Anolis sagrei: one gene and its partners. The protein of the gene in region 4 interacts with the protein of the main gene of each other region in a pairwise test. Links are inferred from orthologs where the notes say so. Each region holds a gene or a part of one and is shown on either strand. Other genes may lie near its edges. The genes, in order: RBM10, C6H1orf35, FAM161A and CEP70.

Region 1 (6,836 bases), on a different chromosome or scaffold from region 4:
AAGATGAAATACTTTGGCCACATCATGAGAAGAAAGGAAAGCTTGGAGAAGAGAATGATGCTGGGGAAGATTGAAGGAAAAAGGAAGAGGGGCCGGCTAAAGGCAAGATGGATGGGATCCTTGAAATGACTGGATTGACCTTGAAGGAGCTGGGGGTGGTGACAGCCGACAGGGAGCTCTGGTGTGGGATGGTCCATGAGGTTATGAAGAGTCGGAAACGATTGAACGAATGAACAACAACAAATCACTACAGCTGCCCTTCACTTTGGGTGCATACATGTTCCTCATATCTATACTCCTGACACACAGAGCTTAGAAGTCATTATATACACACTAAGTGTTTTTAAAGAGAATGACAACGTTTGTGGCCACTGAAGAAAGCAAAGCTGTGACTGTCTCAGCCAGCCTCGCAATATCACCCCGAGTAAGACAGGTGGAGAGCTGTAACTTTGGCCTCTTAGAGGGACAACAGCTAGGGATCCGGAGCACTGAGCTATGCCAGTTGACTGGACTGGGCTGCATCACTCCTCCCCCTTTTCTCCCCTCATAGGCTTCTTCCCCTGCCCTCCTCTCTCTCTCTCTCTCCTTCTCACCTTGGCGAAGACGGGGATCTCCTCGTCGTGGTCGTGGAGGGGCCTGGGGGCCAGGTGCGAGGGGACCGGAGCCGGGGGAACCTGCACCGAGGCCGCCGAGCGAGACTTTTCCCCTGAGGAGACCCCGCGGGCCGAAGGGCGGGCCAACCTCAACCACCTCTGAAAGCCCGCCAGCCGCCTCAAGGCCGCCATGGTCGGTCGGCTCTGCCGCCGGAATTCCGTCGCCCGCTCGCCGGAAGTTCCTCTCTCGTTCGCCGGAAGTGGAAATCTTTCGCGCTTCTCCCTCTCAGAGAGCTAGCGCCAGAAAAGGACCTGAAGGCGGAAGCGAACTTTGCGAGCCCTTTCAGGTTGAAGTTAGGCGTCACGAAGTTGGTATCAAACTGCATTAATTATACCGTGTAGATCAGGTATGAGCAAATTTGGGCCCTCCAGGTGTTTTGGACTTCAACTCCCACAATTCCTACCAGCCGATAGGCTGGTAGGAATTGTGGGAGTTGAAGTCCAAAACACCTGGAGGGCCAAAGTTTGCTCATACCTGGTGAAACACACCCGAGGGGAAAGCATGGGTAACTGTCCCTTTAAGGGAGGGAATCGCCCCGTTTGGAGTTCTGCCTCCCCATCAGACTCACACTTGGAAACTTAAGAGCTGGCAATACATTTATCTTACATTCACCACAAGGTCAGTATTGCTTTTTTTTTCTATCAGAAGAAACAACAGTATCCAAAAACCAAAATATCCCTTGCTCTGGCCAGAGACTGACACTAGTTTACAACTACTTCTTTCCATGGGATCGTATGGTTCTGCATGAAAGCCTATAAGCAGTGGTTCTCAACCTGTGGGTCCCCAGGTGTTTTGGCCTACAACTCCCAGAAATCTCAGCCAGTTTACCAGCTGTTAGGACTTCTGGGAGTTGAAGGCCAAAAACATCTGGGGAACCCAGGTTGAGAACCACTGGATATGATACAAGTGGCAGGGAACCATGGCATAATCTATCTATATAAATAAAAATGTAATGTTCGTTTGTGGGATTAACATAACTCAAAAACCACTGGGCAAATTGACACCAAATTTGGACCCAATGCACCTATCAGGCTAAGGAGTGAACATCACTCATAAAAACACTGAAAAACACAGTAGAAGGGACTTAAAAGGCCACAAAATAAAAAATACATTACAATGCATGCACAAAACCACATATTTATATGCAAACACATATATATACACTAATATATACACACATATACGCAACACGTGGCAGGGGATAGCTAGTCTATATAAATTAAAATGTAATGTTTGTTTGTGGGATTAACATAACTCAAAAACCACTGGGCAAACTGACACCAAGTTTGGTCACAAGACACCTACTAACCCAAGGAGTGACCATCACTCAAAAAATTGATTTTGTCATTTGAGAGTTGTAGTTGCTGGGAGTGATAGTTAACTTAAAATCAAGGAGCATTCTGAACTTCACCAACGATGGAATTGAACCAAATGTGGAACACAGGACTCGCATCACCAACAGAAAACACTAGAAGGGTTTGGTGGGCATTGACTTTGAGAGTTGTAGTTCACCTACATCCAGAGAGCACTGTGGACTCAAACAATGATGGATCTGGACCAAACTTGGCACAAATATGCCATATGCCCAAATATGAACACAGATGGAGTTTGGGGAAAATAGACTTTTGGGCATTGTAGTTACTGGGATTTATAGTTCCCCTGCAATCAAAGGTTAGTGCTTGGATAAGAGACTACTGTTGGCTGCATCCCAAAGGAAGGGACAGGCAAAACCACCCTTGAGGATTTATTATTTATTTTATTTATTTATGACATTTATATGCTGCGTCTTACAAGTTATATATACAGAGCGGCTTACAAGTTATATATACATACAATATTATATTATTAGCATAGCACAATATTAGTATTATATATTAACATTTTGTACTATACCGCTATACTGTAATATCATTAGTAACATTACATGTAATATAATGTAATATTGCATTCTTCTTATTATTATTATTAGGACACTGAACTTCCACGGCTCAGTGTTGTGGAATCGTGGGAGTTGTGCTTTCAGAGGAGGGTGACTAAAATGATAAAGGTTCCAGAGAACAAGCTCTGTGAGCGGTTTCAAGAGCTGGGCATGTTTAGCCTGAAGAAGAGAAGGCTGAGAGGAGACATGATAGCCATGTATAAATGGCTATCACGTATAAATGGCTATGCACGAAGTCATAGGGAGGAGGGAGCAGGCTTGTTTTCTGCTGCCCTGGAGATTAGGACTCGGAGCAATGGCTTCAAAGGACAGGCAAGGAGATTCCACCTGAACATTAGGAAGAACTTCCTGACTGTGAGAGCTGTTCAGCAGTGAACTCTCTGCACCAGAGTTTGATGGGGGCTCCTTCTTTGGAGGCTTTTAAGCAGAGGCTGGATGGCCATCTGTCAGGGGTGCTTTGAATGCAATTTTCCTGCTTCTAGGCAGAATGGGGTTGGACTGGTTGGCCCATGAGGTCTCTTCCAACTCTAGGATTCTATGAGACATGAGAGGAGCTGTGTATCAATATGTGAAAGGGTGCCATAAGGAGGAGGCAGCAGGATTGTTTTAGGACTAGAACAATGGGCCCAAATGACAGAAAAGGAGATTCCACCTGGACATGAGAAAGAACTTCTCAGAGCTGTTCAGGAGTGGAACTCTTTCTCTGCACTGGAGTGTGATGGAGGCTCCTTCTTTGGAGGCTTTTAAACAGAGCCTGGATGGCCATCTGTCCAGGGTGCTTTGAATGCGATTTTCCTGCTTCTTGGCAGGGGGTTGGACTGGATGGCCCATGAGGTCGCTTCCAACTCTATGATTTTACGTGGTTTCAAGCCTTCTCTGTCAAAAATTCCAGGATTCCATAGCACAGCCCTGGGCAAACATCTGCCCTCCGGGTGTTTTGGACTTCAACTCCCACAATTCCTAACAGCCGGTAGTTGAAGTCCAAAACACCCGGAGGGCAGAAGTTTGCCCATGACTGCCATAGTAGTTAAAGTGCTGTCAAACTGCAATCAATATAGACATTGAACTCGGGAGGCGGAGACTTCCTTGTGACCACTTGGATTAAAGCGGAAGCGGGGAGCGATGATAGACAGCCGCCTTTGACCAATCCGATTGCAGAGTGGGCGGCCGCTGCGAAATATAAGCGGCCAATGGGCGCACTCGGCTTCCCGTGACGTCAGTGGCGAGGGAGGGAGGGAAGGCGGTGGGGGCTCCGGTGTCACCGACGACGAGGAAGGAGAGCGAGAGGAAGCGAGCCTCAGAGGCCGCGACGCCGCCATTTTGCGAGGCGGGCGGCGCAGGGCGAAGCAGGCCTCGCTCGGGGCGAACCTCCTCCTCCTCCTCGCCGCCGCTCCTGGCACCAGAGGGAAGCGAGGGCCAGGTGAGAGAAGGCGGAGCCGGCCTCAGGCGCCACAGGGAGGCGGGGCTTCTTGGCCGTTGGGCATCACGCCCTTCTGGTCGCTGTTTAGTTAGGGCAGGCATCCTCAAACTGCGGCCTTCCAGCTGTTTGGGCCTCCAACTCCCAGAAGCCCTAATGAGCTTGTTCAATTGTAAGAAATTCTGGGAGTTGAAGGCCCAAACAGTTTGAGGATGCCTGAGTTAGGGCCTCAAAGAAGGCAGAGAAAGGAAGCCTCGCAGCCCGGCTTTAAAGAAAGGCCAACGGGTTATTCGTGTCTGCGGAGGGCCGTCGAATGAGTGCAATCGACGCCCCTTGAATTGCCTTGCTGAGGAACTCTGGGAGCTGTAGCTCTACTTCTGGCTTCTCTGCCTCACCAAACTCCAAATCCCATGGGCTTGAGCCATGGCAGTTAAACTGCGTTATTTCTAGAGTGTAGATGCACCTAAGTGCGCTTTCGAGTTGGCAAAGATAATACAAAAACAGTTATGAGAGAGCACTGATTCTGCACTGTAAAATTAGCACAGTTTGATGCTGCTCTAACTATTAGGGAACCTTGGAGTTGTTCTTTAGCCTTCTCCGCCAAATAATCATAGAGTTGGAAGAAGAAGAGAAGAAGAAGAACAACAACTTTGGGTTGTTGTAGTTTTTCGGGCTATATGGCCATGTTCTAGAGGCATTCTCCCCTGACGCTTCGCCTGCATCTATGGCAAGCATCCTCAGGGTTAGTGAGGTAGTCAGACCTCACTACCTCTGAGGATGCTCGCTACAGATGCAGGTGAAACGTCACGAGAGAATGCCTCTAGAACAGTGTTTCTCAACCTTTCTAATGCCGTGACCCCTTAATACAGTATCTTATGTTGTGGTGACCCCCAACCATTTTGTTGCTACTTCATAACTGTAATTTTGCTACTGTTATGAATTGCAATGCAAACATCTGATATGCAGGGATTTTTTCATTTACTAGACCAAATTTGGCACAAATACCCGAAACGGCCACATTTAAATACTGGTGGGGGGGGGGGGGGTTGATTTTGTCATTTGGGAGTTGTAGTTGCTGGGATTGATCGTTAATCTTCAATCAAAGAGCATTCCGAACTCCCTCGATGATTTTTTTTTTGTCGTGTCAGGAGTGACTTGAGAAACTGCAAGTCGCTTCTGGTGTGAGAGAATTGGCCGTCTGCAAGGACGTTGCCCAGGGGATGCCTGGATAATTTGATGTTTTTATCATCCTTGTGGGAGGCTTCTCTCATGTCCCCACATGAGGAGCTGGAGCTGATAGAGGGAGCTCATCCGCCTCTCCCTGGATTCGAACCTGTGACCTGTCAGTCTTCAGTCCTGCCAGCACAGAGGTTTAACCCACTGCGCCACTGGGGGCTCCATTCCATCAATGATGATGGAATTGAACCAAACTTGGCACACAGAACTCCCATGACCAACAGAAAATACTGGAAGGGTTTGTTGGGCACACACCTTGACTCTTGGAGTTGTAGTTCACCTACATCCAGAGCACTGTGGACTCAAACAATGATGGATCTGGACCAAACTTGGCATTTATACTCATTATGACAACATGTGAACACAGGTGGAGCTTGGGGAAAATAGAACTTGATGTTTGGGAGTTGTAGTTGCTGGGATTTATAGTTGACCTGCAATTAAAGAGCATTTTGAACCCCACCAACGATAGAATGGGGCCAAACTTCCCACACAGAACCCTCATGATCAACAGAAAAGACTGTGATTTCTGATAGTCTTTGGTGACCCCTCTGGCACCCCCTCACGACCCCCCCCCCAGGGGTCCCAACCCCCAGGTTGAGAAACGCTGCTCTAGAACATGGCCATATAGCCCGAAAAAAACCTACAACAATCCAGTGATTCCGGCCATGAAAGCCTTCGATGATACAAGAGGAACTTTATTTTTCTACCCCGCCTCCATCTCCCTGAAAGGACTCAGGGCGGCTTACATGGGGCCAAGCCAAAGCAATAACAAATAGAACAGCACAAAACAGCATAACTATAATAACAAGCATCAAAATCAACAACAGACTGATTTTGGAGGGGGGGGGGAGGAGGACCACTATGCGAATTGGTTAAAGAATAAGGTGGTTGAATAAGGTGGATAGAAACGTATAATAGCATAGGAAATAATGTGGAAACAGAGCGATTTAACAGGATCAGTTCAGCTTAACTTAAACAAATATATAGTAATGTAATATAGGAATTTAGAATCAGGTCATGATACAAGTCATTTGTCATAGGAGTTGTCAGTCGAACGTACAACAAAACATCCACATCTTTAATTCCTTACAGAATGTGTGTAGGGAGGGTGCCAGCCTAATCTCCCTGGGGAGGGAGTTCCAGAGACACTGAGAATGCCCTCTCTCTCTCTCTCTCTCTCTCTCTCTCTCGTCCCCAGCAACCGCGCCTGAGACAGGGGTGGGAGCGAGAGAAGAGCATCCCCAGAAGATCTTAATCAGTTAAAAACCACAGCACTCCCTGACTAATCTTAAACACCCCTGAATTAGAGTCACACTCTCTCCATGGCTGGCCCAAAATGTTTTGCTGTCTAGGGTCAAGAACAAAATGTTGGTCTCCCTGTAATTCAGCATTTCATATGCAAACTGTCTGGCAGTTGTTGTTTTGTGCTTTAGGTCTGACATCCTCAAACTGTGACCCTCCAGCTATTTGGGCTTCCAACTCACAGAATTTCTGACCATTGAACAAGCTGATTAAGCCTTCTAGGAGTTAGAGGCCAAACAGCTGGAGGGCTGCAGTGTGAGGATGCCTGCTTTAGACAGTTTCCAACCT
Region 2 (7,187 bases), on a different chromosome or scaffold from region 4:
GTTGTGTTTCTAATAATAATAATAATAATAATAATCTGGAAAAGATGACACGATATGAGGATTTAAAGATCGAACTGCAAAGACTATGGCACCAGCCAGTCAAGGTGGTCCCAGTGGTGATCGGCACACTGGGCGCAGTGCCTAAAGACCTTGGCCTGCACTTAAACACAATTGGCGTTTATTATTATTTATTTATTTACCTTACTTATATACCGCTGTTCTCAGCCCGAAGGCGTTGACAAAATTACCATCTGCCAGCTGCAGGAGGCCACCTTACTGGGATTTGCATGCATTATTCGCCGATACATCACACAGTCCTAGACACCTGGGAAGTGCCCAACGTGTAACCAAATTCGACAGCCAGCAGAGTGTCTGCCGTGGACTCATCTTGTTGTGTTTATAATAATAATAATAATAATAATAATAATAATAATAATAATCTGGAAAAGATGACACGATATGAGGATTTAAAGATCGAACTGCAAAGACTCTGGCACAAGCCAGTAAAAGTGGTCTCAGTGGTGATCGGCACACTAAGTGCAGTGCCTAAAGACCTTGGCCTGCACTTGAACACAATCGGCGCTGACAAAATTACCATCTGCCAGCTGCAGAAGGCCCAAGCGGATGGGGAACCAATTCATTTCAAATGGCATGGATATTTATTGGATAGGCTACAAGATGATATCACGGAAAGGAGAACCACATATACTCATGGATCTATTAAGGAGGACTGGGAGTCGAAATGGATATATATATATAGGTAAAGGTTCCCCCTGACATTAAGTCAAGTCGTGTCTGACTCTGAGGGTTGGTGTTCATCTCCATTTCTAAGCCAAAGAGCCGGCGTTGTCCATAGACACCTCCAAGGTCATGTGGCCAGTATTACTGCATACAGCACTTCTTCTTCTTCGGCGATCCCTCGTTGGACGAGTAAGATGGTCTTCCTTGATGACTATTTTTGTGGGTTTGTAGGTGGCTGTGGGGCCCTATTCTTGACCCGCATCTTCTCCCACAGTGAAGGCATTGGTTTCCAGGTGGAAGGTGGTCCCGGTTGGGGTTGGCTTGATGCGCCTTCCTTCTGGCACGTTTCTCTTTCACCATCCACTCGTGCCTCCTTGAATTCTGCAGCACTGCTGGTCACAGCTGACCTCCAGCTGGAGCGCTCAAGGGCCAGGGCTTCCCAGTTCTCAGTGTCTATGCCAGAGTTTTTAAGGTTGGCTTTGAGCCCATCTTGAAATCTCTTTTCCTGACCTCCAACATTACATTTTCTGTTCTTAAGTTCAGAGTAGAGCAACTGCTTTGGGAGACAGTGGTCATGCATCCGAACAATGTGGCCTGTCCAGCGGAGTTGATGTTGGAGGACCATCGCTTCAATGCTGGTGGTCTTTGCTTCTTCCAGCACGCTGACTTTTATCCACCTGTCTTCCCAAGAGATTTGCAGGATTTTCCGGAGGCAGCGCTGATGGAATCGTTCCAGGAGTTGCATGTGACGTCTGTAGACAGTCCACGTTTCGCAGGCATATAGCAGGGTTGGGAGGACAATAGCTTTATAGACAGGCACCTTGGTATCCCTACAGATGTCCCGGTCCTCAAACACTGTTACCTTCCTGCCAAGGCGGTACCTATTGATCTCCTTACATTTGCATGTTTTTGAAACTGCTAGGTGGGCAGAAACTGGGCGTTGCAGCGGGAGCTCACCCCTGCTCTCCAGATTTGAATCGCTGACCTTTCAATCAGCAAGTTCAGCAGCTCAGCGGTTTAATCCTGTGCCACCAGGAGCCAATATATATGTGTGTGTTGTGTGTGTGCATATATATATATACACACACACATACACTAGCCACCCCCTGTCATGCGTTGCTGTTTTGTATTGTTTGTTTGCTATTGCTTTATTATTGATGTATTGCGGGCTCGGCCTCATGTAAGCCGCACCAAGTCCCTTGGGGAGATGGTAGCGGGGTATAAATAAAGTATTATTATTATTATTATTATTATTTGCCAATACACCACGCAGTCCAATACAACAGGCAGCAGAGTGTCTGCTGTGCACTCATCTTGTTAAACCCCTGTGCTGACAAGACTGAAGACGCAACAGGTTGCAGATTCGACTCCGGGGAGAGCGTGGATGAGCTCCCTCTATCAGCTCCAGCTCCTCATACGGGGAAATGAGAGAAGCCTTCCACAAGGATGGTAACACATCAAAAACATCTGGGCGTCACCTCCGCAACGTCTTTGCAGATGGCCAATTCTCTCACGCCAGAAGCGACTTGCAGTTTCTCAAGTCACTCCTGACACGACCAAAAAAAAAAAATCTTGTATTTTGAATAATAATAATAATAATGCACTTTATTTTTTGCCTGCCTCTCTGCATGGCTTGAGGCTGTGGGCTTAAAACGCAGAGTGAAAACACAATACTTTGGAAATGCACATACATAATAATAAACAGAGCAAAGATGGACACCAATGCTAACAAAATGTAAAGTTAGCATCCACTGATAATAACAACTTGCTGCGTTTTTGCTTATTGCATTTGGGTAGCAATTGTATTGCATTTCAGTGGCAATTTTGCAAACTGCAAAATCTTTATACAAGTGAATATCATTTAAACAGATTGCAAAGCTGGGCCAAAACTAACAACAACAATTTGAACAGGGAAAAATATCTAAAGGTGCATCTACACTGCTGAATGAATGCAATTTGGCACCACTTGGAACTATAGCTCTATCTTATTCCTATAGCTCAATGCTAGTTTTGCAAGGTTTTTAGTTTTCTCTGCCTGAATCCTCACTAAACTACAACTCCCAGGATTCCCTAGCACTGAGCCCTGGCAGTTCAAAGTGGTGCCAATCTGCGTTTATTCTACAGTGTAGATGCACCCATTTATGCATGATAGGAAAGTGAAATGGGGGAGAAGGGGTGCACTTACCAGGAAGGCAAACTTTCCCAGCAGGATCCTAGCTGCAAAGCTCCCTCCTTTTGCAAACTCACGTGCTGCTGCAAACAGGAAGAGCCTCCAGCATCCACTTCCGGCAGATATGGGAGAGACCATTGGCTGCAAAAATATAGGGACAATGCAAGGGAGGGTTTCTCTTGAGAACGTTTCCCAAGCTTTTGCACCAATGCATGATGCAAAAAGTGCACAAGGTTGATGCACAAATGCATGAGTGTCCATGAGGCAGAAATGCATGTGGATGATGGTGTAGAAATGGTGTACATGATGCACAAGTGCATAGATTATCAGAGTACACAAATGCATGAGTGTCCATGAGGCAATTATGCATTATGCAAAAAGTGCATAAGGATGCTGAATATGCACAAATGCATGACTATCCATGAGACAGAAATGCATGTGGATAATGGTGTGAATGATGCACCAGTGCATAGATTATCAAGATTCACAAATGCATGAGTGTCCATGAGGCAAACATACATGGGAGAGAGGCATGATGCAAAAAAGTGCATCAAGATGCTGAAGATGCGCAAACACATGAGTATCCACGAGACAGAAATGCATGTGGATGATGGTGTAGAAATGACATGCATGATGCACAAGTGCATAGGTTATCAGGGTAAACAAATGCATGAGTGTCTATGAGGCAAACATGCATGGAATGATGCAAAAGTGCATAAGGATGCTGAAGATGCACAAATACATGAGTATCCATGAGACAGAAATGCATGTGGATGATGGTGTAGAAATAGTGTACATGATGTACAAGTGCATAGATTATCAGGATACACAAATGCATGAGTGTCCACGAGGCAAATATGCATGGGAGAGATGCATGATGCAAAAAATGCACAAGGATGCTGAAGATCAACAAATGCATGTGTGTCCATGAGGCAGAAATGCATGCAGGTGATGGTGTGGAAATGGTGTGCATGATGCACAAGTGCATAGGTTATCAGGATACACAAGTGCATGAGTGTCCATGAGGCAAACATGCATGGGAATGATGCATGATGCAAAAAGTTCATACGGATGCTGAAGATGCACAAATGCATGTGTCCATGAGGCAGAAATTCATGCGAACGATGATGTGGAAATGGTGTGCATTATGCACAAGTGCATAGATTATCAGGATACACAAATGCATAAGTGTCCAAGAAGCAGAAATGCATGTGGATGATGGTGTAGCCATGCATGTGGAAGATAGTATATACAGATATACTATCCAAGCTCCCAAGCTCCCAAGCGCAGACTCCAAGGAAGGAAAACAAGGCGCAAAATGAACACCCAAGCCCTTCAGGAGCCCTCCAGACGAGCTCATCTCCAAACAGCACTCAAGGACCCTCTACCCACAGAACACCCCGAAAATGTTGAGGAACATTGGAACAAACTGAAGACCTCCATCATCCAAGCCTGCGAAGAAACTATTGGATACCAAGCCAAGAAACACCAAGATTGGTTTGACGAAAATGACATCGAGATCCAACAGCTAATCGACAAGAAAAGGAAAGCCTTCCAAATATGGCAGAGAGACATCAACTGTGCTGCTAAGAAAAAGATCTATGCCAGTGCAAAAGCTGAGGTCCAAAGAAGGACAAGAGAACTCAAGAACATCTGGTGGACAAAGAAGGCTGAAGAAATCCAACACCTGGCAGATACCCATAATGCTCAAGGATTTTTCAAAGCCACAAAGGTCATCTATGGACCAAGAAACCATGGCATACAGCCTCTACGCTCATCAGACGGAACCAAACTCCTGAAGGACCAAAAGTCAATTGCACTACGTTGGAAAGAACACTACCAAAGCCTCCTAAACTGCAGCTCCAATGTGGCCGAAGAGGTCCTCTCACAAATCCCGCAACAACAAACCAGAGATGAGCTTGCAGCACTGCCTAGCTTGGAAGAAGTCAGCAATGCCATCAGCCAACAAAAGAATAACAAAGCCAGCGGACCGGATGGGATCCCTGCTGAAATCTTTAAAGAGGGAGGACCCGAGCTGACACACCAACTCCACCAGCTCATAGAAAAAGTGTGGGTGACCGAGAAAATCCCAGCAGACTTCAAGGATGCCACCATCATCACCCTCTTCAAAAAAGGGGAAAGAACAGACTGCGGAAACTATCGAGGTATCTCCCTTCTAACCTCAGCTGGGAAAATCCTCGCAAGAATCCTTGCAAACCGCCTTCTGCCCCTCTCAGAAGACACCCTCCCAGAATCCCAGAACGGCTTCCGCCCCTCCAGAGGAACCGTGGACATGATCTTCACTGCAAGACAGCTCCAAGAAAAATGCAGGGAACAAAACCAACCTCTGTACATGGCATTCATCGACCTTGCAAAGGCATTCGACACAGTGAATCGCAGCGCTCTCTGGACCATCCTCCACAAAATCGGGTGCCCTAACAAATTTGTGAACATCTTGCGGCTCTTCCATGATGACATGATGGCAACAGTCTTGGACAGCAGTGGCTCCCAAAGTGACCCATTTAAGGTGGAATCGGGTGTCAAACAGGGATGTGTTATTGCCCCAACTCTATTCTCCATCTTTATTGCTATGATACTTCACCTTGTTGACGGGAAGCTTCCCACCGGAGTGGAAATAATCTATCGGACAGATGGCAAGCTGTTTAACCTCAGCAGACTGAAAGCCAAAACCAAGGTCACAACAGCATCTGTTATAGAACTCCAGTATGCTGATGACAATGTCGTCTGTGCGCATACAGAAGAAGATCTACAAACCACTCTAAACACCTTCGCAGAAGTATACACGAAGCTTGGCCTGTCACTGAACATCGAGAAATCCAAAGTGCTGTTCCAGCAGTCACCAGCCGTCCCCTCTCCAATGCCAGAGACACAGCTTAATGGTGTAACATTAGAAAATGTCGACCATTTCCGCTACCTTGGCAGCCACCTCTCCACCAAAGTCAACATCGACGCCGAAATACAACACCGCCTGAGCTCTGCAAGTGCAGCATTTTCCCGAATGAAGCAGAGAGTGTTTGAGGACCGGGACATCCGTAGGGATACCAAGGTGCTTGTCTATAAAGCTATTGTCCTCCCAACCCTGCTATACGCCTGTGAGACGTGGACTGTCTACAGACGTCACATGCAGCTCCTGGAACGATTCCATCAGCGCTGCCTCCGGAAAATCCTGCAAATCTCCTGGGAAGACAAGCGGACAAACGTCAGTGTGCTGGAAGAAGCAAAGACCACCAGCCTTGAAAGGATGGTCCTCCAACATCAACTCCGCTGGACAGGCCACGTTGTCCGGATGCCTGACCACCGTCTCCCAAAGCAGTTGCTCTACTCCGAACTCAAGAACGGAAAACGGAACGTTGGTGGGCAGGAAAAGAGATTTCAAGATGGGCTCAAAGCCAACCTTAAAAACTCTGGCATAGACACTGAGAACTGGGAAGCCCTGGCCCTTGAGCGCTCCAGCTGGAGGTCAGCTGTGACCAGCAGTGCTGCAGAATTCGAGGAGGCATGAGTGGAGGGTGAAAGAGCGAAACGTGCCAGGAGGAAGGCGCGTCAAGCCAACCCCGACCGGGACCGCCTTCCACCTGGAAAAAAATGCCCTCACTGCGGAAGAAGATGCAGAGCAAGAATAGGGCTCCACAGCCACATACGGACCCACAAGGAAACCCATGATGGAAGACCATCTTACTCGTCCAACGAGGGATCGCCTAAGTAAGTAAGTAATACAGATATATGTGTTTTCTTGCATTTTGGGATTTGTTGCACTATCGGTGCTTTCAAAAACTTTCAAAAGAAGTGCCTTCTGGGAGATGGTGATGGTATATAACTAAAGTTTCAATTCCCTTTTAAAACTGCATCTCCCTCATTATTATTATTATTATTATTATTATTATTATTATTATTATTATTATATGGTGCACAAATGTGTGAGAATGATGCATAATGCAAAAAGTGCATAAGGATGAAGATGCACACAAATGCAGAAGTGTCCATTATGCAAAAATGCACATGGATGATGGTGCACAAATGCATGTGGATGGTGGTGCACAAATGCATGATTATGGTGCATCATGATACACAAATGTGTGAGAATGGATGATGAGGATGAACAAGTGCACCAGTGTCCATGAAGCATAAATGCATGTGGATGATGGTGTTTTACCCACCTCTCCCCATGGCTCATGACTTTGAATTGTGCTCGGAAGCTAATAGGCAGCCAGTAGAGCTGGCGCAGCAATGGCGTCGTGCGCTCCCTGTACCCCAC
Region 3 (7,539 bases), about 67 Mb from region 4:
TTTGTTAGCCCCCTCTCACAAATATGCTTCTTGTTTGAAAACAGTTAAAGAGCACTTGCCTCAGGTATATGGATGTTCTCAAACTTTTTTATGCAAACTGAAATGTAACAACTTAAATTGGAACTGAATAAGATACTGTAGTTGCATATAGTCCAGATTCTTTTGTTACCAAAATTTTATCCTAGATATGAAATACTTAAAAAAAACTTCACTTAACTTGAAAACTGCCAGCTGTAGTTTTAGGGAATTGCTATAGAAATGTTCTACCTTATTAATAGGTTGTGCACTTGGGCTTATTTGTTTTTCATCTTCTCCTACTCCATAATGAGACCACTGAGAAATACGTATTGACAATAGATTTTCTGCTTGTCATTTCTAATAAACTAAAGTGGCAGTTCTTACATTGTAGGGTGGAATTTCCAATATCCTTGAGGAGTTGGTTGTCCAACCGTTGTTGGTATCTGTCAGCGCTCTCACCCTGGCTACAGAAACCGTACGCAGCATCCTGAAGATTGACGATGTGGTAAGCATAGTTTAAATACTCATAAAATGTTCTCTCAAATGTTTACTTTGTTACATTTCACAGATCTGTTACTGCCTTGCATCAGTGTTGAAATGCTGAGTGTTTAATGACAACTGATGAAATAGTTAAGATTCAAAGAGGCATTGTAATTATTAGTGGAAATTATATTGAATAATGTTAAATAAGTAATATAGTGATGAAGTGTCATACAATAATCTCTCATTTTTTGCAGGTAAACACTCGATGAAAGGTCTAAAGGAAAAGAAAGCACAGGTCAGCAACATGTCATACGTTTCTAACATGACGTCTTCACACAAACTGTGTTGGACATCTGCTTAATTCCAAGTTACACTGGCGTACTTTTGTCAATTTAAATTAATAAAACCTCAAATTTGAAAGGCTTTGTTTTAATTTTTTTATATAACAAAATACTTGAACACATATTGCATTGATTGCCAAAAGCTCTGCTTTACACTTTGCTAGACCATGTCTACCTTTAAACTCTACTATTGTGGCTGAAGAGACTTAAGCAATTTCACATCCTTTGAAATTAGTGAGACTTAATTTGTGGGGCTTTATTTATGTCATGTCTTGGGCTGTAACCGTATCTGTCAGCTGTTAACTGTCAGCAATTGGTACTTTTAAATCTAGCATGTATTTCACTGAAGGTATAATTAAATGTTGTATCGTATAAATCTAATAATAGTTTCTAAGAACAGGATTGACACATGTTAAGAACGGTATTCTGAAGAAAATACAAGACATGCAACATTTTTATCCCAAATTGGTAGTTAAAGGCAATGTCTTTTTAATAGTAGGTGTTGGTCACTTCTTGTAACACCTAGAAATTTGGATACAGTGAGGCTGCGAAAAGATTGTCCAAACCCAGTACTGCTGTCTCTGTTCTAAGACGCAAGGTGAAAAAAAGAGGTGTGTGATTATTATGTGGTGGCAACTGTTGCACAGTGAAAAAAGCCCATTTTTTGCAATGGAGACTATTATGTGATGAAATGCGGGTATCTAAATAGTAAGTCACATATCCCAGAGGCACATATAAGGGTTCTTCAAACTTGTGAGGAGAAACGGCATGCACAGATGGTTTTTCAGGACACTTGTGGCTTGTAGCAATATCTGTAAGCAAAACTAAAACGGATTCAGAGTACTAATGGATTATTTGTGAATAGGAAGTAAGTGTAGCTCCAGCCTAAAGATAATGAGGTGCAGATGTTGCTCCTTTGAATTGCAAGAATTATAATGCTAAAATACAGTACAAAGTGACTGTAAGACAGCACACAAATCCCTCATATGGGCTCATGATAACCATACATCCCTGCTCCCCATCCATGCCAGCGGGAGTAAAGGTAGCTGCTCTGCCATGCATATGGATGTATTTCTTAATATACAGGAGTGTAATGGAAGACTCCTCTGGCCACCAAGTCCTGAGAAATGGCTGTAACTCATTTTCCCTACTCAATAAATCTCAATTTTTGAATAGCACAGAATCTTCTCTTACTAAGCTTTGAGACTAGTTACCAACTGCCACCAATTCACAGCTATGTCCCAACATTTCAGATGAAAACCAGGACAGCTGTGACAGCATTTATGGTAACTGAAATCCACAAGCCATTGAAATCCACAAATATGCAGAGGAAACCATGAAAATGAACAAATTCTGGTTACCAGTATTAAAAACACCATAATCAATACAGTAAATAAAGAAACACCACTTGAAAACAGGAGAACTCGACAATTCCTAGTAAGACGTATTCGGTTTCAGTTCTATGGGTTGGCCAATAATCTTTTCCATTGCAATGAGTATCATTTTCCAAAATTTAATTGCCTTTTTACATGACCACCAGAGGTGGAAAAAGGAACCCACCTGAGAATGGCATTTCCAACATTTATCTGACATGTTCTTGTAACATTTGGATAATTTGCTTGGAGTTATGTACCAGCGGTACATCATCTTGTACCACTTCTCGCATAGATCATGGGAGTCTGTGTATTTTAGTGTGATGTTCCATATGCTCTCCCATTCTGATATACATATATTGTGGCCGATGTTTTGTGCCCACCTCACCATGCATTCTTTTATGTTCTTTTTCCGTTGACCAAGCGAGTAATATTTTGTAAATTCTGGAAATTAGTTTGTTTTTAGAGATCAGGTTCTTATCCCATGATTTTTCTTTTTCAAATCCAATTTTCTTGTCTCTGGAATGCCTCTTTTAATTGTCTATACTGGAAAAATTATTTAGCTACTTGACTACGGCTGCGAGAATCACATATGCTAAAAAGTGGAAAGAGAAAGACACACCAAGTATTGAAGGCTGGATAATAAAAGTTACAGAAATTATGAATATGGACTATCTTACACACAACCTTAGAAACAATCAAGGGAAAACAAGAGAAGACTGATTGGACCACAGTCAAGAACTTCATAGAAGAAAGAATCCGATAAGAAAGAATAAAGATACAAGGACAGAAAACAAGGAAAATGATAAGGAAAAATACCATCAACCTACGGGACAGAATATGAAGACTACAAATGCTCCTCCATCCACCAATCCTGCACCCCCCTTTTTTTCTTTCTCTTTACACCTCAACTCATCACTAAGTCACAACCCTTCCCTCTCCCTTTCAGCCCCCCCCCCCCCGTTCCCCTCTTTCTCTTTTTTCTTTCTCTTTCTCCTTTTAAGTGCATTATTTTCAAAACTAATAAAAATATTTTAAAAAAGAAAACAACTCCAGACAGCAAACAACCAAGTGCCCGTTATTACCTCCCAAATGATGCCTCCAGACAACAATACTCTCACTAATTGATTGCAGTTGCAAAGCTATTCAATGCTAATCGAGCTTGCAAACTGCAACAAATAGACAAGGGTTCTTTCTCCCACCCTGGGCATTCCCTACATACACACACACCCATTTGCTTCACTGCCAACAGAACCTCTGAAGATGCCATTAGCCAAAGATGCAGGTGAAACGTCAGGGGAAAATGCTACTGAAACATGGCCATACAGCCTGAAAAACTCACAGCAACCCTGTGATTCCAACCTTTGACAATACATTTATGGTAAAGATGGCAAAGGTTATTGAATGAGGGGAACCCAAGCAAAGAGAGAAGGCAGTTGCCTTTTATTTATTTATTTAGGAAATGTCTATGCCACCTTTCCTCAGGCGGACCCTAGGCAGTTTACATCATCTTAAAAACATCGCAACATAAAACCGTCAGCTAAAACAATAATACAATTTCTGAGTATGCTCTACAGCATAATCCATGCTTCCCTTTTGCTTGGGCAAGAGTTTGCACTCCTCCTGAGTCAAAAGAGGCAAAATAAGGGTTTTTTCCCGACAGGCCCTATATCCCAGAATCTGATCCCAGGTTTTCTGTTTTAAACTGGATTATATGAGTCCGGTGGCGCAGTGGGTTAAAGAACTGAACTGCTGAGCTTGTTGACCAAAAGGTCGCAGGTTCGATTCCAGGGAGCGGCGTGAGCTTCCGCTGTCAGCCCCAGCTTCTGCCAACCTAGCAGTTCGAAAACATGCAAATGTGAGTAGATCAATAGGTACCACTCCGGCGGGAAGGTAACTGCGCTCCATGCAGTCATGCCGGCCATATGACCTTGGAGGTGTCTATGGACAACGCCGGCTCTTCGGCTTAGAAATGGAGATGAGCACCACACCCCAGAGTCAGACATGACTGGACTTAATGTCAGGGGACAACCTTTACCTTTATATGAGTCCACACTGCCAGATAATCTGGGATAAACAGAAAAACCGGGGCCAAATCCTGGGCTATGGGGGCCTACCTGGAAGGCTTTGAACTCATTCTGCAGCAGCTGCAGTAAGATGAAGAAGGAGGGAGGGAAATTGGGAGGAGAGATAAGAAAGTGGGACAACAGAGGATGAATGGGGCCAGCTGGAGGTCAATGTAGTTTAGTTCTGTCAATGGGCGACGTGCGGTTCTTTTCGGCGCGTGCGCACAATTGTCCTGGAGGCCCCGCCCTCAGGAGAGTCCTGTCCGCGCGGCCGTTAGCGAAGGTGTTGTGTTCCCTAAGAGATGCCGTAGCGTCCCAAGCCGGGCGCCTTGGTAACCCAGCGAGGGCTTTCATTCAGTCGCGCGCTCGCGGGGAGCGGGATGGATGCGGGTCACCGGGCCGCTTCCCTCGCTGTGTCCTGCCTCCGAAGGCCGGTGGACCCTCACACCAAGGCCCCCACGGCGCTGTACGAGCGGGAGCGGGAGCGGGGGGACGGAGCCTGGCCGCAGGTGGGTACCTCAAAGCACACCCTCTCAGCCTCAGAGGGAAGCCAGGACAGGCCCACACGTCCTGCCTGACAAGGTCGCCGTGCCCTACTAGAGCTGAAAGACTAGGCCAAGAGCCTGCATCCCACCTGAAATAATTGTATTGATCTTAGGATACTTTCGAGTAGTGGAAATGTGAGCCTATGTCTTGTCGAAGGCTTCCATGGCCAGATTCACTGGGTTATTGTAGGTTTTTTGGGCTATATGGCCAAGTTCTATAAGCACAACCTCTGCGGATGCCTGCCATAGATGCAGGCGAAACATCAGGAGAGAATGCTTCTACAACATGACCATATAGCCCGAAAAGCCTACAACCCAATGTGAGCCTAACTCACAATCCCATAGAGCCCCATTAATCACAGGTCCTGCATCTACTTACACATCTTCACCTGCAGTTTATTCTTTCCAGCTACAGCATATTCTACATTGAATTTCGTTCCTATGCCCCACCTGTCTCAAAGTATCACACTAAAACTCCCAATCTCTGAGGATGCCTGCCATAGATGCAGGCAAAACGTCAGGAGAGAATGCTTCTACAACATGGCCATATAGCCCGAAAAACCTATAACAACCCAGTATCACACTAAAACTGAAAAAGTAAGCAAAGAGTCTGCATCCTATCTGAAATCCTGTGGCTGCCTTCTGAAGGATTTTGAGGCTTGTAGTTTAGGGAGACCCAGTGCCCCTCTGACAGCATTTTAAAGGCCCCTCCCCTGAAGCCTCATTTTTTAATGTCAGGGGCGACTTGAGAAACTGCAAGTCACTTCTGGTGTGACCATCTGCAAGGGTGTTGCCCAGGGGACGCCTGGATGTTTCTGAGGTTTCACCATCCGTGTGGGAGGCTACTCTCATGTCCCCACATGGGGAGCTGGAGCTGACGGAGGGAGCTCATCTGTACTTTCCCTAGATTTGAACCTGCTACCTGTCGGTCTTCAGTCCTGCTGGCACAAGGGTTTAACCCACTGTGCCATCGGGGGCTCCCCTGAAGCACAAGGGCAAAAGGCTACTATACACAAAAAGTAATGCAGTTATATAATCATGAGAATGTACATTAGATCTGTGCTGTAGTACTACAACATTCAATGTACTAACAGCTTGTACAAAGTATACTTAACCGAGATACACAATGCAAATCTCTAAACCAAAAAAATCCTTTATGTGGGATAAACACCTGATTCCTACAGTAAAATGCACAAGTTTATCAGTCCTTTTTGAAAATCACAAGTTTAGAAACAACCAATCAAAGTTTTTAAGTCCTTTCTTTGCAAGTCTCTGAATCAAAAAATTTCCTAATGTGGGATAAACATCTGATTCCTACAGCAGAATGCACAAGTTTATAAGTCATTTTTTAAAACAATGTTTGTCAGCAGCAAATCAAGGTTTGTCAGCCCTTTTTTGAAGTCCACAGTTCATAAACCACAACCAGTTTTGACTATGTGGCGTCTTCCTCAGGTGGTAGTTGATACAAGTGTAGAAATCCTTGAATAGTCAATTTACCACAGTAGAGAGTTCTTCAAGTCAATATATAAATGTCAACAATGACATGGACCTACGGGGAACACATATGAGTCCCCTGAAGCCCCTGATTCAACAGGAAGCAGACACAGGATTTCAGACGGGGTGCAGATTCTTTGCCTACTTTTTCAGCTCTAGTGTGCTATGAGTCTCTGTGAAATAAGCAATAAATCATATATTTTAAACACACACACACACATATAAAAGGAATTTCATGAGATAAGTTGTGTCCCCATACATTTTTATTACAATTTATATATGTGTGTATCTCTTTTAAGAAGTTGCATGATGATGATGATGTTTATTTATACCCCACTTTTTCCTCTCCACAAAGGAGACTCAAAGGAGACCTTGAAAGCGTTTCCGTACATTTTAAAATCCAAAAATATACAAACATTAAAATAGAAATAAACATTAATAGTTTAAATCCTTAAAACAGATAAACATGTATTCAAAACTAAAGCCACAGCAACCCTCTGACCTGATTTTAAAAGCCTTCCTTTTAAAAACCCTGCCCGAATAAAAAAGTTTCAATAAAAAGGTTTAACCTACAGGTTGCTATAAAACTGAATCTCCGTGTCACAAAATGATGCATGTCTCAAAAGTGTGTCACTGATATGAAATGTTTGGAAAGCTCTGCTGTATGATATATATCGCAATGCTACCTAAACAAATAAACGGCAGATCCCATGTAATGCTGCCCCTTCAGCCTTTTTTCCTTAAAAAATCAGACACAGGACATGAAGATGTCCCAGTTCCATAACTGAAGCTTTGCTAGCCTACTTGTACATTTGGCAAGTTAGGAAAACCACACATTTATTCCCTGTTGTACAACTAGGAAAAAGCCTGAGCTTAGAGACCAGAATTCATTTAGCTGCTGATGCTTTTTCTAACCTGATAAGAGCTGTGTGGCCTGGGTTCGTACAGTGTTGATGTACTAGGCACAGTTGATTTAATTGTGATCAAACTGGTTGAAATCGTAATTGAAATTTCCTGAAACACTTAGTTTTAATAATTAAATAAATAATTAAAATCTCTATTAAAATATGTTTACTAGAAGCATGTTACTGTTTAATATAACCATATTTATATTCAGAGTTATAGATTTTACTTGAAATGTAATCAATGCTGAATTGTTTTCCGATTAATTTTTTGTTCATCAAAAAAGGAATCTTCAGCATTAATATTCTGCGTCCAT
Region 4 (7,047 bases):
AACTTTAAATGCCAAAAGCATGTAGGAAAATATTTCATATGTATTTAGTTCAATTTTTATTCAAGGTATTCTAGATATTTCTGCATAGAGCTCACCAGCATTTTGAAATAAACTGAATGAAAGTGAATCTACATAGATTCAAATTCGGCAAGTGGTGCTTTTTAAAGTAATGTTTCTGTATTTGTTATATTCTTGATTAATATGAAATACCAAACACTTATCACTGCGTTTGTTTTTGTCACATTCTTTCATGCTGAAATAAAAAAAAGTTTTACATCTACAGAAAGGAGATTACGGTGGTAGATTCCTCACTTTCAAAAGAACGGTATGATTTGAGGACACAAAAGTAGGATTTTGTTTCTAGGATACCGAAACATGAACACAAACACATAGGATCACATAAACTGGGCGAGCTTCCTACGGTCTTTTTAGCTACCTAAAAGACACTTCCTACATATTTTTGGATGAAGTAGGAATATGAGCATTTGACAGTTGACACAAGTTGAGTATCCCTTTATCCAAAAATACAAAACGCTCCAAAATTATCCACCTGGGTGGCTGAGCCAGGGACACCTTTGTTTTCTAATGAAACTGTTATTTTGTACTGTATTTAATATGTTGGAAGCCACTCTGGGGCCCTTTGTGGGAGAAAAGCAGGATATAAATTAAAATTTGTTATTGTTGTTATTATTATTAATTAGAAACACAACAAGCTGAGTCCACAGCAGACAAGATCACTCTGCTGGCTGTTGTATTGGATCACACGTCAGACACTTCCCAAGTGTCTAGGACTGTGTGATGTATCAGCAAATAATGCGTGCAGATCCCAGTAAGGTGGCCTTCTGCACCTGGCAGATGGTAATCTTGTCAGTGCCGATTGTGTTTAAGTGGAGGCCAAGGTCTTTAGGCACTGCACCCAGTATGCAGATCACCACAGGGACCACCTTTACTGGCTTGTGCCAGAGTCTTTGCAGTTCGATCTTTAAATCCTCATATCGTATCAGTGAATAATGTGTGCAGATCCCAGTAAGGTGGCCTTCTGCAGTTGGCAGATGGTAATTTTGTCAGCGCCGATTGTGTTTAAGTGCAGGCCAAGGTCTTTAGGCACTTATTATTATTAACTGAGTTCCATGATATAAAATATGGTGCATAACAGCATTTCAGAAGCTGTTTACTGGCACATAAATGAATTCCGTGTTTATTGCCTTGGGTCCCATCTCCCAAAATATTGAAGAAGAAGAAGAAGAAGAAGAAGAAGAAGAAGAAGAAGAGGAGGAGGAGGAGGAGGAGGAGGAGGAGGAGGAGGAGGAGGAGGAGGAGGAGGAGGAAGGAAGAAAGAAGAAAAAGAGTAATAATAATAATAATAATCCCAAACACTTCTTCTGGTCCCCACAAACACTTCGAAGAAGGGATACTCAACGGGTGCAAATCACACTGATGCGGTTTGACTCCACTTCCTCTGCCAGGGCTTGATGCTACTGAATTCTGGGATGTGTAGTTTGGTGAAGCACCAGCACTCTTGGCAGGGAAAGGAACTACAGAGTATCTCACTGTGCCACAGCATTGAGCCATGGCAGTTAAAGCGGTGTCAAACTGGACGAGGGGGAAGTTTTCTCTAGGAGGAGGAGGAAGGGGGGGGGAGGGAGGGTCGGGTCTACCTGGCCCTCTAAATCTCGTAGTCTCCCGGAAACGAGGCCTTTCCTCGGGACGGAGCCTGCAGTGCTTCCCAGTCTCTTCTGCCCAGAGCCAGAGCAAGGAGGCCGCCTCCTCCTTCCCTTTCCTCTCCCTGGGGTCACCCTCCTCGCCTTTCCTCCCAAAATGGCGGCGGGGCCTACCTCGAGTGGCCCCTCTGCCCAGCAACGCACCCGCCGAGGCGGACGGATGGAAGTCCTCATCCCCGGAAGTTTTCCCCAGCAGGCCCCGCCCCTTCTCTCGCCCCGCCCCCTCTGGAAACGCCCATTAAGCAGGGGCTCGAGGCTTTCAGGAATTTGGACTTCAACTCCCAGAAGCCTCCGCTGCCACCGCCAATGGCCGGGCATTCTGGGAGATGAAGTCCAAAACCAGACTGGGAAGAGGGTTGCTGTGAGTTGTCCGAGCTGTATGGCCATGTTCCAGAAGCATTCTCACCTGACGTTTGGTCCACATCTATGGCAGGCATCCTCAGAGGTTGAGAGGTTTGTTGGAAACTAGGCAAGTGGGGTTTATACATTTGTGGAATAATGTCCAGGGTGGGAGAAAGAACTCTTGTCTGTTGGAGGCTAGTGTGAGTGTTGCAATTGGCCACCTTGATTAGCCTTTCAGCTTCAAAGCCTGGCTGCTTCCTGCCTGGGGCAATCTTTTGTTGGGAGGTGATTAGCTGGCCCTGATTGATTCATGCCTGGAATCCCCCTGCTTTTCATAGAATCAAAGAATCAAAGAGTTGGAAGAGACCTCATGGGCCATCCAGTCTAACCCTTTGCCAAGAAGCAGGAATATTGCATTCAAATCACCCCCGACAGATGGCCATCCAGCCTCTGTTTAAAAGCTTCCAAAGAAGGAGCCTCCACCACACTCCGGGGCAGAGTTCCACTGCTGAACGGCTCTCACAGTCAGGAAGTTCTTCCTCATGTTCAGATGGAATCTCCTTTCTTGTAGTTTGAGTGCTGTTCTTTATTTACTGTCCTAATTTTAGAGTTTTTAAAATACCGGTGGCCAGATTTTATTCATTTTCATGGTTTCCTCCTTTCTGTTGAATAATATGCTGTGTCCAGGTTGGTTCATCAGGTGTTCTGCTATGGCTGACTTCTCAGGTTGAATTAGTCTGCAGTGCCTAGCATGATTATTGATTCGTGTCTGGGCATTCCCCAGATATATAAATCTCACTTGCCAAGTTTCCAACAGACCTCAAAACCTCCCTGCTGTTAGGAATTGTGGGAGTTGAAGTCCAAAATACCCGGAGGGCCCAAGTTTGCCCATGACTGCTTCCCCATCCATGTTTTCAGTTCCTTTCTAAAGGTTATTAGACAAGGCCTTGAGCCTTCCCTGCCAAAGAGGGCTGGGGTCTCACCAAATCACAACTCCCACGATTCCACAGCATTCAGCCGTAGCAGTTGATGTGGTGTCGAACCGCATTCATCCTACTACAGCACGTTTCTCTCTTTCGCCCTCTATTCATGCCTCTTCAAATCCTAAAGCACTGCTGGTCACAGCTGACCTGGAGCACTCAAGGGCCAGGGCTTCCCAGTTCCCAGTGTCTATGCCAGAGTTTTTAAGGTTGGCTTTGAGCCCGTCTTTAAATCTCTTTCCCTGTCCACCAACATTGTGTTTTCCATTCTTGAGTTCGGAATAGAGCAACTGCTTTGGGAGACGGTGGTCAGGCATCCGGACAACATGGCCGGTCCATCAGAGTTGATGGTGGAGGACCATCGCTTCAGTGCTGGTGGTTCTTGCTTCTTCCAGCATGCTGACATTTGTCCGCTTGTCTTCAGCACAACTCTATACACTAATGCGCCTTAAGCATGCATCTAAACTGCAATTTGGCAGCATTTTAACTTTCCAGAGAAAGTTTAAAAACTCTAAAATCAGGGGGTAGTAAATAAAGAACAATGAAAACAGGGGAATTCCAGACATGAAACAATCAGGACCAACTAACACCTCCCAATAAAGGATTCCCCCAGGCAGCAACCAGCCAGGCTTTGAAGCTGCAAGGCTATTAAATGCTAATCAGGGTGGCCAATTGCAACATTTACATTTGAGAGTAAACAAACCCCACTTGCCTAGTTTCCAACAGACCTTGCAACCTCTGAAGATGCCTATGAGACTCATGAGGTCACCATAACTTCTTGGGTCACTTGAAACATCCTCAAGGCAGTAGATCCTGGCTGATCTTGGAAGCTAAGCAGGGGCAGCCCTGGTTAGTACTGGAGGGGAGGCCTCAGGCAGCTATTTCAGAGGAAGGCATTGGGCTTTCCTTTCTTTGCCCAAGTCGGCTCTGAAATACAAAGATGCCTTCAAGCCCCTCCTTGGGGCGGAAACTGGGGCGGGCTTTTCTCTCCTTCTTGCTTTCCCCTTCCTTCTTTCTTCCCTTCCTTCCTTCCCTTCACCCCTCCTTCTTTCCTTGGAGACCCGCCTATAACGGCTTCTGAGACCGAGGCAAGGAGCCCAGGCCCCGGTATGTACCGCAAGAAGAGGAGAATGATGCGAATTAAGCAGGGAGGAAGGCACTGAAAGGGAAGGAATGCATCTGATACCCCTTTAACTGTGTTAAACGCCCTCTCCTTGGCTGCATACACTGCAGAATGAATGCATCTGAGTCCCCTTTAACTGTCATGGCTCCATGCTGGGAGATGTAGTTCTGCAAAGGCTCCAGCCCTCTCTCCTGGGGAACCACCAAACTACAGCTCCCAGGACCTCATAGCTGTGAGCCATGGCAAGTAAAGTAGTGTCGCTTGTAGAGATGCAGACTTGGTTGGTTGAATGGTTGTCACACAGCCAGGGGATTCAGTCTTCTACACAGCCATCTATTTTATTATATCAGGAGCGAACCAAGGGTACAGTTTGGTTATTTATTATTTACTATATTATTATAGTAAATAATAATTTACTATATTTATTATTTTTATATATATATATATATATATATATATATCTAATAAATAAATATATTTTACTATATTTATTTATTATTTACTATATTACTATTATTATATTGCCCCTCTCAGCCTGCAGGTGACTCGGAGCAGTTTACAGTCAGCATCAAAAACATAAAACATGATTAAATCAATTAGCTTAAATATAAAACCAATTAAAATAGTCAATATCAATAAAAAAAATATATCAATTAGAGTCTCCTTGTTAAAAGCATTGTTAATAGCATCATTCCATTTTTCCTATGTTTGTTATATTGCATCTGCAAACGCTTGCTCAAAAAGCGAAGTCTCCCGGTTTTTTTTTTAATGTTAAAAGGGAAGGGGCCGATCTGATATCCCTACAGAGGGCATTCCATAGCCAAGGGGCCACCACTGAGAAGGCCCTGTCTCTTGTCCCTGCCAAACGTACTTGTGACGAAGGCAGGGCCTCCCCAGATGATCTTAGAGTCCTAGAGGATTCATAAGGGGAGATGCGTTCGGACAGATAAGTTGGGCCAGAACTTGTATTTTAAAACAACACGAAGTTTAAAAACTTTGCGTTGTATTAAATGTCCTTTGACTAGTAGCTGGCCACTTGGAATGCCTCTGGTGTTGCTATAAGAAGGTCCTCCATTGTGCATGTGGCAGGGCTCAGACTGCATTATCTGTGGTTTGCTCTTCTCTACACTCGCATGTCATGGACTCCACTTTGTAGCCCCATTTCTTAAGATTGGCTCTGCATCTCGTGGTACCAAAACAAAGTCTGTTCAGCGCCTTCTAAGTCACCTAGTCTTCTGTGTGCCCAAGGTGGGAGTCTCTCATTTGGTATCAGCCAAGGATTGAGGTTCCAGGTTTTTGCCTGCCACTTTTGGACTCTTGCTTGCTGAGGTGTTCCTGCGAGTATTTCTGTAGATCTTAGAAAACTATTTCTTGATTTAAGGCATTGGCGTGCTGGCTGATAACTGAATGGGATGGGCCGGAGATGTCACTGCTTTCATAGAGCCATGAAAGCCACAGGATCCTCTATGGCAGGCATGGGCCAACTTGGGCCTGCCCTCCAGGTGTTTTGGACTTCAACTCACACAATTCCTAACAGCCGGTAGGCTGTTAGGAATTGTGTGAGTTGAAGTCCAAAACACCTAGAGGGCAGGCCCAAGTTGGCCCATGCCTGCTGTGGAGACTTCACTCTGGCAGCACACCATGGGAGGCTTTATTGCATGGTGTTTGCAAAGCACTTGGTGAATACTTTGCTACACCATGGGCCTTTCAAGTACAGAACATTATAGTATACACCTAAAAACATAAACAAACCTTTTTTTGGTAGTTGTGTAGAAGGAGTTGCCACAAGGATTTGCTTTTAACACAACCAGCTAGCAAAGCTTCTGAAATTCCCTCTTCTACCATGTACACGACTTAACTTGGGAGGATTTGTTGTTTTTACGTGGATTATTTCGGCCTTATTTCTACTGGGAATGTTTACAAAAAGCACATTGTTTGAATTGTTTTGCAAACAAATAATAGTTGATGTCATTTTGTTGCATTTGGTGAACATTTTGATTTCCCACGGGTCTTGTAAGTACAGAATATGACTGTATTCACTTGAGAAGAGTATGAAAATGAGAATATTTTAACATGCACCTGGAAATAATATGACAGCTAGATTAAACAAACGTTTTGTGTATTGTTGAAGGCTTTCATGGCCAGAATCTCTAGGTTGCTGTGATTTTTCTGGGCTGTATGGCCATTTTTTTTCATGTCAGGAGTGACTTGAGAAACTACAAGTTGTTTCTGGTGTGAGAGAATTGGCCATCAGCAAGGGGACGCCCAGATGTTTGATGTTCTACCATCCTTGTGGGTCAGCAATCCTATCGGCACAAGGCTTTGACTCCTGTATGGCCATGTTCCAGAAGCATTCTCTCCTGACGTTTCACCCACATCTATGGCAGGCATCCTCAGAGGTTGTGAGGTGTTTTGTGGTTGTGTTGAAGGCGTAACTTTTCACACAACCAAGTCACCACCACTTCAGAAATCTCCTTGAAACAGCCATGAGAGAGCCAATGTGGGATACTGGTGAGAGCATTGCACTAAAGCTCTAGAGACCAGGGTCTGTATCCTCAACTGTGAAACCCAGTGGGTGATTTTGGGCAAGTCACACTCTCTCACTCTCACAGGAATGCAATGGCAAATACCCTCTGAACAAATCTTACCAAAAGAACACTGTAATCGGTTCATTTTAGGATCCCCATAGGTCCAAAAAAAGTTTTGAAGATATTCAATAACAACAAACACAGTCACGAAAGGTAGAAGAGCCATCTCCAGTTTCCACTCCGGCAATCCTACTTGGAAAAACTGCATTGTCTCACACAGATTGCTCGTTATTTCACCTTTGTTTCTATTGAGAAGGGTAGGATTTCATTAGTGGCACTCATTTTATAGTCAA

The links.
Region 1: the proteins of CEP70 (region 4) and RBM10 interact in binary tests that used the Homo sapiens proteins (3 or more experiments, as listed by UniProt). The two-hybrid records come from large-scale screens. The link is inferred for Anolis sagrei from reciprocal best matches to the Homo sapiens genes CEP70 and RBM10.
Region 2: the proteins of CEP70 (region 4) and C6H1orf35 interact in binary tests that used the Homo sapiens proteins (3 or more experiments, as listed by UniProt). The two-hybrid records come from large-scale screens. The link is inferred for Anolis sagrei from reciprocal best matches to the Homo sapiens genes CEP70 and C1orf35.
Region 3: the proteins of CEP70 (region 4) and FAM161A interact in binary tests that used the Homo sapiens proteins (3 or more experiments, as listed by UniProt). The two-hybrid records come from large-scale screens. The link is inferred for Anolis sagrei from reciprocal best matches to the Homo sapiens genes CEP70 and FAM161A.

What each region holds. Positions count from the first base shown.
Region 1 is NC_090022.1:193,516,445-193,523,280, forward strand, and holds the start of RBM10 (RNA-binding protein 10), read left to right. Parts: upstream 1-3,835; 5' UTR 3,836-4,013; intron 4,014-6,836. Other genes in the region: NDUFB11 (NADH dehydrogenase [ubiquinone] 1 beta subcomplex subunit 11, mitochondrial), read right to left, coding at 594-785. UniProt on the Homo sapiens protein: Binds to ssRNA containing the consensus sequence 5'-AGGUAA-3'. May be involved in post-transcriptional processing, most probably in mRNA splicing. Binds to RNA homopolymers, with a preference for poly(G) and poly(U) and little for poly(A).
Region 2 is NC_090026.1:127,925,534-127,932,720, reverse strand, and holds the start of C6H1orf35 (multiple myeloma tumor-associated protein 2), read right to left. Parts: upstream 3,010-7,187; 5' UTR 2,927-3,009; intron 1-2,926.
Region 3 is NC_090021.1:151,972,037-151,979,575, reverse strand, and holds the start of FAM161A (protein FAM161A), read left to right. Parts: upstream 1-4,522; 5' UTR 4,523-4,661; coding exon 4,662-4,790; intron 4,791-7,539. Other genes in the region: CCT4 (T-complex protein 1 subunit delta), read left to right, coding at 410-523, 756-770. UniProt on the Homo sapiens protein: Involved in ciliogenesis.
Region 4 is NC_090021.1:218,659,158-218,666,204, reverse strand, and holds the start of CEP70 (centrosomal protein of 70 kDa), read left to right. Parts: upstream 1-4,047; 5' UTR 4,048-4,150; intron 4,151-7,047.